3 linked regions of the Mus musculus genome follow. The protein of the gene in region 1 interacts with the protein of each later gene in a pairwise test. Links are inferred from orthologs where the notes say so. Each region holds a gene or a part of one and is shown in the gene's direction. Other genes may lie near its edges.

Region 1 (4,273 bases):
GCTTCCGTTTTCCATCTGTTTTGTTAATAAAATATGTATATTTACTCCCGATATCACAATAAAATAAATTATTTGATCTAAGTCATTCACAGAAGTTTTTGTTTTTTAAAAAACTGAGTAACCCATCCTATGTTTAAGAGTTACAGAGTCCAACTGAAAAATATTGGTCTTCAAGGTGTTGGGCTCCTGAGTATGTGTGTGTGTGTGTGGGGGGGGGGTGTTCTAAGATGACTGTGGACTTGGAGTTGTGGGGTGGACATGGGAGCGGGAAAATAGTCGCCAACCTTGTGGCGGCCAGAGTGGGAGTGGGATGGTGTGTCTGTCTTCATTATGCTCTTGCTCCTCCATCTGTTAACTTTAGTGGGCCTCTTGGGGTACCAGCTCTGTGGGAAGGAATTCTCTGTTCACGCAGACTTCCTGGGAAAGCTATCTGCTTAGAGGCCAGGAAGAGTCCAGCAGGGTCCTGGGAAAGTGAAGGAGTGACCAGTCCTCCAGTTCAGGGGGGAGGGGATGGAGAGGGGTGGATGACGTGGTTGGTGCTAGTCTGGGAGAGTCAGTACCTCTTCTCTTGGCTGAGGAGGTCTCTTGGCTGGTGGAAAAACCTGGCTTGATGTAGCCCCAGGGAAGTGAGCTGGAGGAGGCGGAGACAGCTCTGACGGGAAGCAGAGCGGAGCAGAGCTTTTTTTCTTTGGGAATTTTTAACTCTATTTGAGCCATGTACTTGACACTAACACCACCCTGAGCCATTTTTAAAGGATCTATCCACCTCACGTTCTGCACAGACCAGTGTCCTTACTTGTGGAAAACTAGTCACCAGCCCACTTCTGGTAACAGGCTGCGAGGGTTGGGGGTGGGGGGGGTCACCGGAGGTAACAGTCTGGAAGGAGGCAAGAGTTGAGGGAGGGGATTGAAGTAGTTTAGTCACAGGGTTTATTTTGTAGTACCAATGTTTTCCTTTTTTTTTTTTAAACTTCCCATCCAACATATTCCAGCGTAAGACTTCAAAAAAATTTCCCTCCCCTTCAATCTATATACCCACCGACACTGCTCCCACCCCTACCAGTTCCTAAGAGTGCAACGCAGTTGGCTGGGAAAGAAGTGGGGAGAGGTCTCCTCCGGGAGGGGGAAGCCAAGAGAGTGGCGTTTCTAAGGGATTTAACCTCCTACCCTCGGCTACATGACGCCACCCCTCCCTCCAAAGACTGGAACTGCGCCTCCATTTTTGTTTTGGGGCAGAGGCAGGGGCTCCCGGGTAGGAGGGGGTCAAAGGAAACGGTGATTATCACCCACCAAGGGGAGGGGTGCTCTCCCTTCCTTTCTCTCGGTCTGCACCCCGGCATCCCCTTCCACCTTCTCAGGGTCTCCCCCCCACCCCCCCGCCCCTTGTTGCTAAGGCCCGGACCGTCATCCCAGCAACAGCCTCAGTCATGTGACCGGCAATGGCGGCGCTGACGAGAGGTAGGTGAGCCCGGCGCCCCCACACCCACCGCGTGCCCCCCCAGGCCGGGTCCGCACCCTCACAAGCCCCCCGCTTCCCTCCGCCCCCTCCTCCGCCATTGGACCCCCACGCGCGCGCCGCGGGAGAAGAGGGCGCCCTCGGGGCCCGGGCCCATCATCTTTCCCGCACCTTCAGCCCTGGCCTCCATTTGGGGGTTCTGAGGGCCGCAGTCGGGTGGACACACACCCTCACCAAGCGGCGGGACTCCGGGGCTTCCTCGAGTAGGGATGCGGGAGTTGGTTTCGGGTTGGATGGATCCGGGGGCAGTCTCGGGGAGAAGGGTGGGGGGTGCCTCAGTGGACACCTCCCCAGGGGACCCTTGCCCTTTCTCGCCGTCCCTGCCAGCGGCCGCTGTCTGGAGGAAGAGGCTGGTCTGGTGTCCGGCCTGGTTTGCCCCAGAGGAATGCTAGACCCAGACTAAACTGTGGCCCCGCCTCCCTGTGCCGTGCCAGCAGGACTTGGAGCTAGGACACCTAGATCCTGGGTTCTCTCTGGTGGGGAGGGGGCATTTCACCGTGCACAGACCATGCGGGTTGAGATGCTTAGGTTTTCATCTCAAGGACCCTATGATGGAGGCACAAACGGACAGAGGCTTCTTTTTGGATCACAAGGAATTGAGGTCACATGAATGGCCCCTCTTCCTAATTGAGCTGCACTTTGTGTTGTGGGAAAGGCCCTGGAGCTGGGCTGTGACAGGGCTCAGGGGAAAACCTCGGGTCCCTCTAGCCAAGCTCCTGCTTGATTTGCAGCTGACAGCAGCTCTGCGGGCACTGGGTTTAAAGGTGACAATGAGAACTTTGTTATTGCGGGACTGCTAACACTTTGCTGGCATCCCTAACAGACTTCCGGCTCTCAAGGAAAGGTCTCTGTCAACAACAGGGACTTGAACTATTCGAGAACGTAAAGCGAGGAGTTTAGGAGATATTTCTGTCAGTGTAATCTGAGGGAGGTGGCGTGTACGACCTTCATCCTGTGAGGCCCTTTTTTTTTTTCTCCTTCCTGTCTTTATCTGCATCTAGGATCTCCCTCTGCACTGGGGGGAAAAGAGGAATTAGCCTGATGAAGTTCCTTGAGCAACTTGGAGAGGATTCTGCAGGGGAGGAGAGGAACTAGAAGAGCGTTTTCTGTCTGGGCTGGCTGAGGAAATGCTATCATAACTCTTTACCTTCCTCGTCTCCAGCTCTGGCCAGCTGAAGGTGGAGGTGGAGGGACTTCTGCTACCTTCGTCTCTGTGGTCTTTTCAGGTACCCGTGCCCCAGGAGAACCTCAGCTTTCGGGTTCCTCCTGTATTCCAAGAAATCCCCATTTCCAGTACCCCTACCCCAGGTTCCTGGCCATTTCAAGGGCTCCTGAGTTGGGGCTTTGGGGTTGGGGAATAGTTTTCCTTCCTCCTCCTCCTCCTCCTCCTCCTCCTCCTCCTGTTTTTTTTCTTTTCTTTTCTTTTCTTTTTTTTTTTTTTTTTTGAGACAGGGTTTCTCTGTGTAGCCCTGGCTGTCCTGGAACTCACTTGGTAGACCAGGCTGGCCTCAAACTCAGAAATCCGCCTGCCTCTGCCTCCCAATGCTGGGATTAAAGGCAAGCGCCACCACTGCCCAGCTTTTTTTTTTTTTAAAGATTTATTTATCTATCTATCTATCTATCTATCTATTTATTTATTTATTTATTATAAGTACACTTTTGTTGTCTTCAGACACACCAGAAGAGGGCATCAGATCCCATTACAGATGGTTGTGAGCCACCATGTAGTTGCTGGGATTTGAACTCAGGACCTCTAGAAGTGTAGTCAGTGCTCTTAACCACCGAGCTATCTCTCCAGCCCCCTTACTTTCTTTTCTTTCCCATTCCACCAGGCCACAGGATCTCCAGGTATCAGGGGGAAAGGAGAGTGAGCCTGCATGCCAATTCTAAGCTCCTCCGGATCAAAGTGAGCAAAGCAAACGGAGGTGGGATGGGGTGGGGTAGGGGTGGGGAGCCTCCTTCCCTTGGAGGAACCTTTTTTTTTTTCCATCTTGGGGAGAAGGGGCAGGTTGTTGTGCTCAGGGGAGAAATGAAAGAAGCAAGCAGGGCTGGTGCTTGGCTTAGATAACGATGAAATATGGAAACCTGTGCCCAGAGGGTGCTGGGCTATGGGACAGAAGTGGAGATAGAAAACCAACCGGTTTGTGGGCAGTGTTGGGGGTTGGCTTTGAGGGAAACAGAGGTAACACAGGGGGTTCAGAAGGAGCCTGAAGTAAGAGGCACATTTATCTGTCAAATGGGGACTCCCCACTCTGAGTCCCTTTCACCCTGGGGGCAGTGTCGTTCGTCCTGTCCAGAATGGCAGCCTGTGGAGGCTCCTGCAAGAACAAAGTGACTGTCTCCAAGCCTGTGTGGGACTTCCTGAGCAAGGAGACCCCAGCCCGGCTGGCCCGGCTTCGGGAGGAGCATCGGGTGTCCATCCTCATAGATGGCGAGACTTCTGACATCTACGTGCTCCAGCTGTCCCCACAGGGTCCTCCCCCAGCCCCTCCCAATGGGCTCTACCTGGCCAGGAAGGCTCTCAAGGGGCTACTGAAAGAGGCAGAGAAAGAGCTAAAGAAAGCCCAGAGGCAGGGGGAGCTCATGGGCTGCCTGGCTTTGGGGGGTGGAGGGGAACACCCCGAGCTGCACCGCCCAGGCCCTCCTCCCCTCCGAGCAGCCCCACTCCTGCCCCCAGGGGCAAGAGGGCTACCCCCTCCTCCTCCTCCCCTGCCCCCTCCACTCCCTCCTCGTCTCAGAGAGGACGCTGAAGAGCAG
Region 2 (2,698 bases), on another chromosome or scaffold:
TTTCTAATGGCTCCTAACAGAGTTTGCAAAACTAATCCAGACCATATGGACGTCGTCCCCCAATGATGTGGTGAGCCCATCTGAGTTCAAGACCCAGATCCAGAGATATGCGCCACGCTTCATGGGCTATAAGTAAGGGCCTGGCATGCGTGCCCTCCCCAAGGTGGCTGGCAGCACAAGTGAGGTCTGGTGGGCGCTGCTCTCCCACTCACTTTTGTTTGCATTCAGTCAGCAGGATGCTCAGGAATTCCTTCGTTTCCTTCTGGATGGTCTCCACAATGAGGTGAACCGGGTGGCAGCAAGGCCTAAGGCCAGCCCTGAGACCCTTGATCATCTCCCGTAAGTAAGAGGAGGTCCTGCCTCAGGCAAAGCCTTTGTGAACTTGACCTTAGTGCCTACTTCTATAGGAGTAATGATTCGGGGAGAATCAGATTTGCTTTGTTTTTAAGCTCAGACTTTTTATTTCGGTACTGTGCACGGGTCTGTGTACCTAGGTCCTTGTATGCAATGGGCAAGCACTCTGCCACTAAGTTACATCCTCTAAGATTGCTTTTGAAGATTAAAAGGTTGAAGCCAGGCATGGTAGGAGATACCTGTAATCCTAGAATTCAAAGACTGAGGTAGGAAGGATTATGAATTAAAGACCAGCCTGGGTTAATCCTGGCTCAAGAGAACCGTGGCTTGGGAGGTACAGCTCAGGAGGGTTGTGTGACCAGGAGCGAGGCCAGGGATTCCAGACGCAGCACCCCATACAGCAATGTCTGTAAATCCATAAAGACTCAAGATGAGAGCCCTTAAAGACTTCCAGGGTTTGAGTCCTGACCTACCTGTCTTCCTGTCTGTGGTTCCCAGTGATGAAGAAAAGGGGCGACAGATGTGGAGGAAGTATCTGGAAAGGGAAGACAGTCGGATTGGGGGTAAGTATATAGACAAGAAGATACCTGCTTCTGTTGTTACCCACTTTTGCTCAAGAAGCCACGGGGATCATTTTTCCCAGGGAACCCTGCTTCTGCCTGTGGCTCTCAAAACTAAGGCAAGCGTGGGTGGGAAAGGAAGACGAGCGTTCGGCGTGCTGAGCATGGCCTGGCTCTCTCTCCCCAGATCTCTTCGTTGGGCAGCTGAAGAGCTCCCTCACATGCACCGATTGTGGCTACTGCTCTACAGTCTTCGATCCCTTCTGGGATCTCTCGTTGCCCATCGCAAAGGTATGCTCAGCTGTGGTCCCCACTTCAGCATTGCGCTCGGGGCTCAGTGAGGTCGTGACCTCTGACCTGGACCCTTTTCCTTTGCAGAGAGGTTACCCTGAGGTGACGTTAATGGATTGTATGAGGCTCTTCACCAAAGAGGACATATTGGATGGTGATGAGAAGCCAGTAAGTCACTCCTCAGTGACAGAACAGCCACCTTCACAGGGCCTGGTTGGGGAAGGGCCACCAAGTCTCCCTACCTCAGGCCTTAAGCTCTTTTTAGCCTCTTTTGTATCTGTCTTTTAGACTTGCTGCCGCTGCCGAGCCAGAAAACGATGCATAAAAAAGTTCTCTGTCCAGAGGTTCCCAAAGATCTTGGTGCTCCGTATCCTTGACTCCCAGGGTGGGGAGCTGATTTTTGGAGGGTGACTGTTGACAAGGGACCAAAAGGGGAGGAGAGGAGCTTAAGGAAAAACCTCTGTAGACGTCTTTGCTGTCCTGCTTCCTCTCCTTGACTCAGAGCAATCACAGACCTGAAGCGATTCTCAGAATCCAGGATACGAACCAGCAAGCTCACAACATTTGTGAATTTCCCACTAAGAGACCTGGACTTGAGAGAATTTGCTTCAGAAAACACCAGTGGGTATACTGGAGCAGGAGGGAAGAGGGAAGGAGGGAGGCAAGGGGGCAGGAAGCAAGTGAGTTAGGAAAAAAATCAAAAGATCAGGATGTGAGCAGGCAAAGTGCCGATGACCAGCAACAGATCCCCAAAACCCACACAGAAGGAGAGAATTGACTGTCAAGATGCCCCTTTGACCTAAACACACACACATACATACACACACACACACACACACCAAGGAAATAAGTGGGGGCGGGGGGAGGAGAGTGGGAAATAAAAGGGAGGAAGGGAGGGGATGTTGGGCAGGAATGCTAACCCTGTGCTGCCCCCTCAGACCATGCTGTTTACAACCTGTATGCTGTGTCCAATCACTCCGGAACCACCATGGGAGGCCACTATACAGCCTACTGCCGAAGTCCGGTTACAGGCGAATGGCACACTTTCAATGATTCCAGGTGAGAGATGGAATTCCAGCAGGGTTCCGTGACAGCAGTCATCTCATATGGCTTCCATCTTGAATGGACAGAACCATCATACCACGTGTATGCTGCCCTCTCTGGGACTGTCAGAGATAGATAGGTATGGTGGCTCACTAATCAAATACCTGAGAGGTGAAGGCAGGAAGGTCAGGATTTCAAGGTCATCTGCAGCCACTTAGTGAGTTCGAAGTCAGCCTTGGTTATGTGAGACCCTGTCTCAAAAAATGGGTTGGCACTGAAGAAGTGGCTCAGCAGTTAAGGGTTCCCACTGCGGTTGCAGAGAACAGGGGCTCGTTGCCATCGGCCACCATGGACGTACATAAGCACATACACATGGTATTTAAAAATAATGGGAATCTTAACAACACACCTCTCAAAGGACAAGAGGCAGAAGTTACCTTGGCATAGAG
Region 3 (4,171 bases), on another chromosome or scaffold:
ACTGAAAAAAGAACCCAGAATCTTTTTTTCTTTTTCAAGATTTACTTTATTTACTATATGTAAGTACACTGTAGCTGTCTTCAGACACACCAGAAGAGGGCGTCAGATCTCATTTCAGATGGTTGTGAGCCACCATGTGGTTACTGGGATTTGAATTCAGTACCTCTGTAATAGCAGTCAATGCTCTTAACTGCTGAGCCATCTCTCCAGCCCCAGAATCATTTTTCAAGCACATCCTATATGTAAGCAGAGCAGATATTTGGTTCCTGGACAGGAAAATAAAAATCATGTGACCTACTGGGTCAAAATCTTGGGCTTCAAAATATGCTAATTTCTGGGCTGGAATGGGTGAGGCAGGTAGGTGGATTCCCTTCTAACTCTAGAACTTCTTCCAGAGGCTGGGGGCTGCTATTACACCTTGGCCTCGACTTGAGCTGGGATGAGGGGGGTCTTTACTCTTGCGCAGAGGGCTAGAGACTTCTTGGCTGTTCATTTGGACACACAGTAGTTCCATAGTTTGTAATCAGTTGGTGATAAAATATAATAGGCTCCTGAAATCTATCTCGAGGCTTCAGCCACCCATCGTTTTCCCAAATTGCCACACAGCAGACACTTTCTATGTGTTCAGTAGAGTAAAACACAGAACGCCCAAAATAAAAGCGAATGAGTCCAACAGCGTCCTCTAGTGGTGCTCGGGCACCAAGCAACCTAAAAGAAGCATCGCTGCGTTTCTGCCCATCTGCTGGACTGTACCACTCAGGGAGCGGTCCTCGGAGGACATAAAGTCTATACTGACCCCCCCCCCCCCACTCTCTTTTAGAACGGAGCACTGAACCCACAAAGGCAAAGTGACTTGGCCCAGGATTCTGAGACTTTCTTTAGAGGTGGTAGGTTCACAATTCCATTGCGGAGGTCGCAGAGAGCCCTGCCCCGGAGCTACTTTGCATCAAGAGTATCTCATCTGTGCTTTGGGCGAGTTTGCTCTCAGCGTCCGGGGAGCTGACAGAGGCTGGAGATGAATCCCATCCTGGCTTCTACGAGATGTACCCCGCAAGATGCAGGAACCAAGAGGAGCAGTGCGCTCCACCGACGTAGTCTCTGATCTGCAAGGAGCATGAGTTGCTGAGATACGAGATCGCCAAGCTGGGCACTCGACTGCAGCCTCCAGATATCCACCAAAGGGGTGGGGAGCAGGTCTTTGCAGCTAGAGTCGGTGTGGGTGGAGTGGAGCGTGGGCGGGGCTCGGGAGCTGCAGTTCAGAGAGCGGTGTCCTGCTGGAATCTGCTGGTGCCCCACGCTCCAACCCGAGATGATGGCCAGCAAGCGAGTGGCGAAAGTAAGCCTATGTAGGATGACCCTTTCCTTGTGCCCCTTCCCGCCCTGCCCTAACCTTTCCGCCCTGCCCTAACCCTCCCCTGCCCCCTTGCTCTCTGAGCTTTTTTTGTTATTTGGGTACCAGGGCTGGCTGAAACTCAGGTATCCTCACCTTTTCCCAATGGAGAAATGGGAGGAGAAAGGCGCGGTGTGTGTGTGTGTGTGTGTGTGTGTGTGTGTGTGCGCGCGCGCGCGCGCGAGAAGGAGGGAGAAAGAGAGGAGGAAGGGAGGGGGCCTGATTGAGAAGGTCTGGAAAAAAAAGTTGTCATCAGCTTCAAAAAAAGTTGTCATCAGCTGTACTGGCCACGAGAATGAACTGGTCTTTCCAAATGGTTTCCAATGTATTGGGCTTTCCAAACTGGTTTCATTTTCAATTTCTGCTGGAAATTTATTAGTGGAACTTATCTAAGGCACAGGAAGGGCTCTGTTGCTCCGCCTAGTGGATACACCCATAATTTGATACCTACATTACCCGAGGCCACAGAAGAGTGATGTTGGGCGGTGGGGTGGTGAATGGACAGACCGTGAAATAAAACGTACAGACTAGTTCCTGGATGAGAAGTAACAATTTATGCTCTGAGTAGGTTATTTGTATGCAGTCCTGCTCCAGCTACTAAACGCCTACTTTGTACTAGCCCAGTGCCAGGCAGCAGGAGCAGAAAAGGAACAGAAATCTTGTTCCGTTTGAACGTTCATTTCTATGAGACACTATTTGGTACTATCTGAAAGAATGAAAAAAGGGCAGTTTCCTTAGGAATGTCTAGACCGCTGAATGGAGCCAGGATTAGAGATCGTGGAGGAGAAATGCTCGTGAGCCAGGGCTGGTACCGCTAGGCTTTGAGTCTCCCCGAAGTGCTCCTCTAGTCTGCAGAATTGAGGGGAAGGCTTCCTCAGGAGACAGAAGGGATGGTTGCTGGCCTCATGTTTCTCTCTCTCTCTCTCTCTCTCTCTCTCTCTCTCTCTCTCTCTCTCTCTCTCTCCCTTTCTTTCTTTCTTTCTTTCTTTCTTTCTTTCTTTCTTTCTTTCTTTCTTTCTTTCTTTCTTTCTTTCCTTCTTTCTTTCCGAGACAGGGTTTCCCTGGCTGTCCTGGAACTCACTTTGTAGACCAGGCTGGCCTCGAACTCAGAAATCCGCCTGCCTCTGCCTCCCCAGTGCTGGGATTAAAGGCGTGTGCCACCCAGCTGGCCTCATCTTTCAAAAAGAAAATTCTTTTGAGATGGAGAAGTCCAGAGCAGACCCAAAACAGAACTAAACTTTGTTGGTTTTAGGCTGGTACTAAATGGGGCAAAGGGTAATTTGCTACCTCAACGCTAAAAGGTAGACTGGCTTTTGTTGCTCCGGAATTGTCAGCACCAGGCAGTTTGTTTTATTTAACTCTTAGAACAACTGTGAGATAACTGTGTCTTCCCATTTCATGGAAGAGGAAACTGAGACATCAGGGAGAGTAACGTGGCTGGCCAGTGATATTCTGCAGAAGTAATGGGGCTGGAATTTGAGCCCAGACTGATAAGAGTCTAACTCACAGGGCTTTTCCTGCCTGTTTGCCTTCACTTTCATTTCTCCTAAGTCAGGTGACTTACTAGCTGGCTTTGGGAGGAGCTGTGTGCACTGGTGTGGGTTTCAGCAATCATGGAAAGTTCGTCAGAATTCATCAAAACACAGAAAATTCAAGTGTTAAGAGAGAAAATTTCCCTTCGGTACTTTTTTTTAATACCATTTTGTGTTGTTCAGATTGGTCTTAAACTTGATATGCAGCTAACAATGGCCTTTAATTTTTAAAAAATCATTTAATTTAATTTTATGTGTATGGATGTCCTGCCTGCATATATATCTGTTAACTACCTGCATGCCTAGCAGAAGCAAATGAGAGCATTAGATCTTCTGGAACTGGGGCTAGAGACAGTCATCAGTCACCATGTGGGTGCTGGGAATTGAACCCAAGTCCTCTGGAAGATCAACAAGTGCACCTCCCCACTGAGCCATCTCACCAGCTTAATTTCAGGATTCTTATGCCTCCATCTCATTCCCTAAGACATGGGATCATGGATGTGCACTGCTTTATCAAGTGTTGTACAGTGCTGAGGATTGAACCCAGGGTTTTGTGCACGCTAGACAAACACTCTACCAACTGAGCTGCATCTTCAGCCCAGAAAAATGTCCATTCAAGATCTATGTTATACCTAAGCCTTTGTTCTTGCCCAAGCTATGGCATGGGTTATGCTTGTGGTAAGATAGAATAGGCAATGAATGGTCATGGCTGTAGGTAGAAGGCATGAGAAGCCATTTGTTAGTGTGATTACATATGGAAGATGGGTTTAGTGATGAATGGGAGTGTGGCGTGCTTATATACTTGGGGGTCAGAGTACAGATGATGCACAGCAGTGAAGGACCCCACCCCCAAGCCCCTGGCTTAGGGGAACTTTCTACCTGCATGTACACAGGCCTTTCTCAACTTTCTCTCTGTTGACATTTGGGACCAGATCATTCTCTGTAGCTAGGATGTTTCATCAGCGTGGACTTTACCCGCTGGGTTGTGGCAGCACTCACCCCATCTGTGACAATAGAAAACGTTTCTAGATATTGGCAAAGGCGTCCTGATAGGTAAACACATCCCTGGATCAGAACCACTAGTTTGTATCTATTCATTGTCCCCAGCGTTGCCTTGAATATGTGACTGTTTTTCAAACCACCACCCCCTTCTCAAAATGAGAAGAACTGGAGTCCTGTGGGTGAGGTCCCTTGGTCAGATGCACCATGGTATAATGGGGACCCTGAGTGTGCTGGGAGTGTGGTGTAG

What was found.
Region 2: the proteins of Dtx3 (region 1) and Usp2 interact in binary tests that used the Homo sapiens proteins (3 or more experiments, as listed by UniProt). The link is inferred for Mus musculus from reciprocal best matches to the Homo sapiens genes DTX3 and USP2.
Region 3: the proteins of Dtx3 (region 1) and Ube2l6 interact in binary tests that used the Homo sapiens proteins (3 or more experiments, as listed by UniProt). The link is inferred for Mus musculus from reciprocal best matches to the Homo sapiens genes DTX3 and UBE2L6.

The regions. Positions count from the first base shown.
Region 1 is NC_000076.6:127,192,879-127,197,151, reverse strand, and holds the start of Dtx3 (probable E3 ubiquitin-protein ligase DTX3), read left to right. Parts: upstream 1-1,442; 5' UTR 1,443-1,458; intron 1,459-1,584; exon of another isoform or gene 1,585-2,280; intron 2,281-2,344; exon of another isoform or gene 2,345-2,470; intron 2,471-2,517; 5' UTR 2,518-2,742; intron 2,743-3,348; 5' UTR 3,349-3,393; coding exon of another isoform or gene 3,394-3,421; coding exon 3,422-3,422; intron 3,423-3,794; coding exon 3,795-4,273. UniProt on the Homo sapiens protein: Regulator of Notch signaling, a signaling pathway involved in cell-cell communications that regulates a broad spectrum of cell-fate determinations.
Region 2 is NC_000075.6:44,090,984-44,093,681, forward strand, and holds part of Usp2 (ubiquitin carboxyl-terminal hydrolase 2), read left to right. Parts: intron 1-20; coding exon 21-132; intron 133-228; coding exon 229-339; intron 340-852; coding exon 853-917; intron 918-1,101; coding exon 1,102-1,205; intron 1,206-1,292; coding exon 1,293-1,373; intron 1,374-1,493; coding exon 1,494-1,572; intron 1,573-1,718; coding exon 1,719-1,826; intron 1,827-2,143; coding exon 2,144-2,264; intron 2,265-2,698. UniProt on the Homo sapiens protein: Hydrolase that deubiquitinates polyubiquitinated target proteins such as MDM2, MDM4 and CCND1. Isoform 1 and isoform 4 possess both ubiquitin-specific peptidase and isopeptidase activities.
Region 3 is NC_000068.7:84,797,597-84,801,767, forward strand, and holds the start of Ube2l6 (ubiquitin/ISG15-conjugating enzyme E2 L6), read left to right. Parts: upstream 1-1,231; 5' UTR 1,232-1,309; coding exon 1,310-1,336; intron 1,337-4,171. UniProt on the Homo sapiens protein: Catalyzes the covalent attachment of ubiquitin or ISG15 to other proteins. Functions in the E6/E6-AP-induced ubiquitination of p53/TP53. Promotes ubiquitination and subsequent proteasomal degradation of FLT3.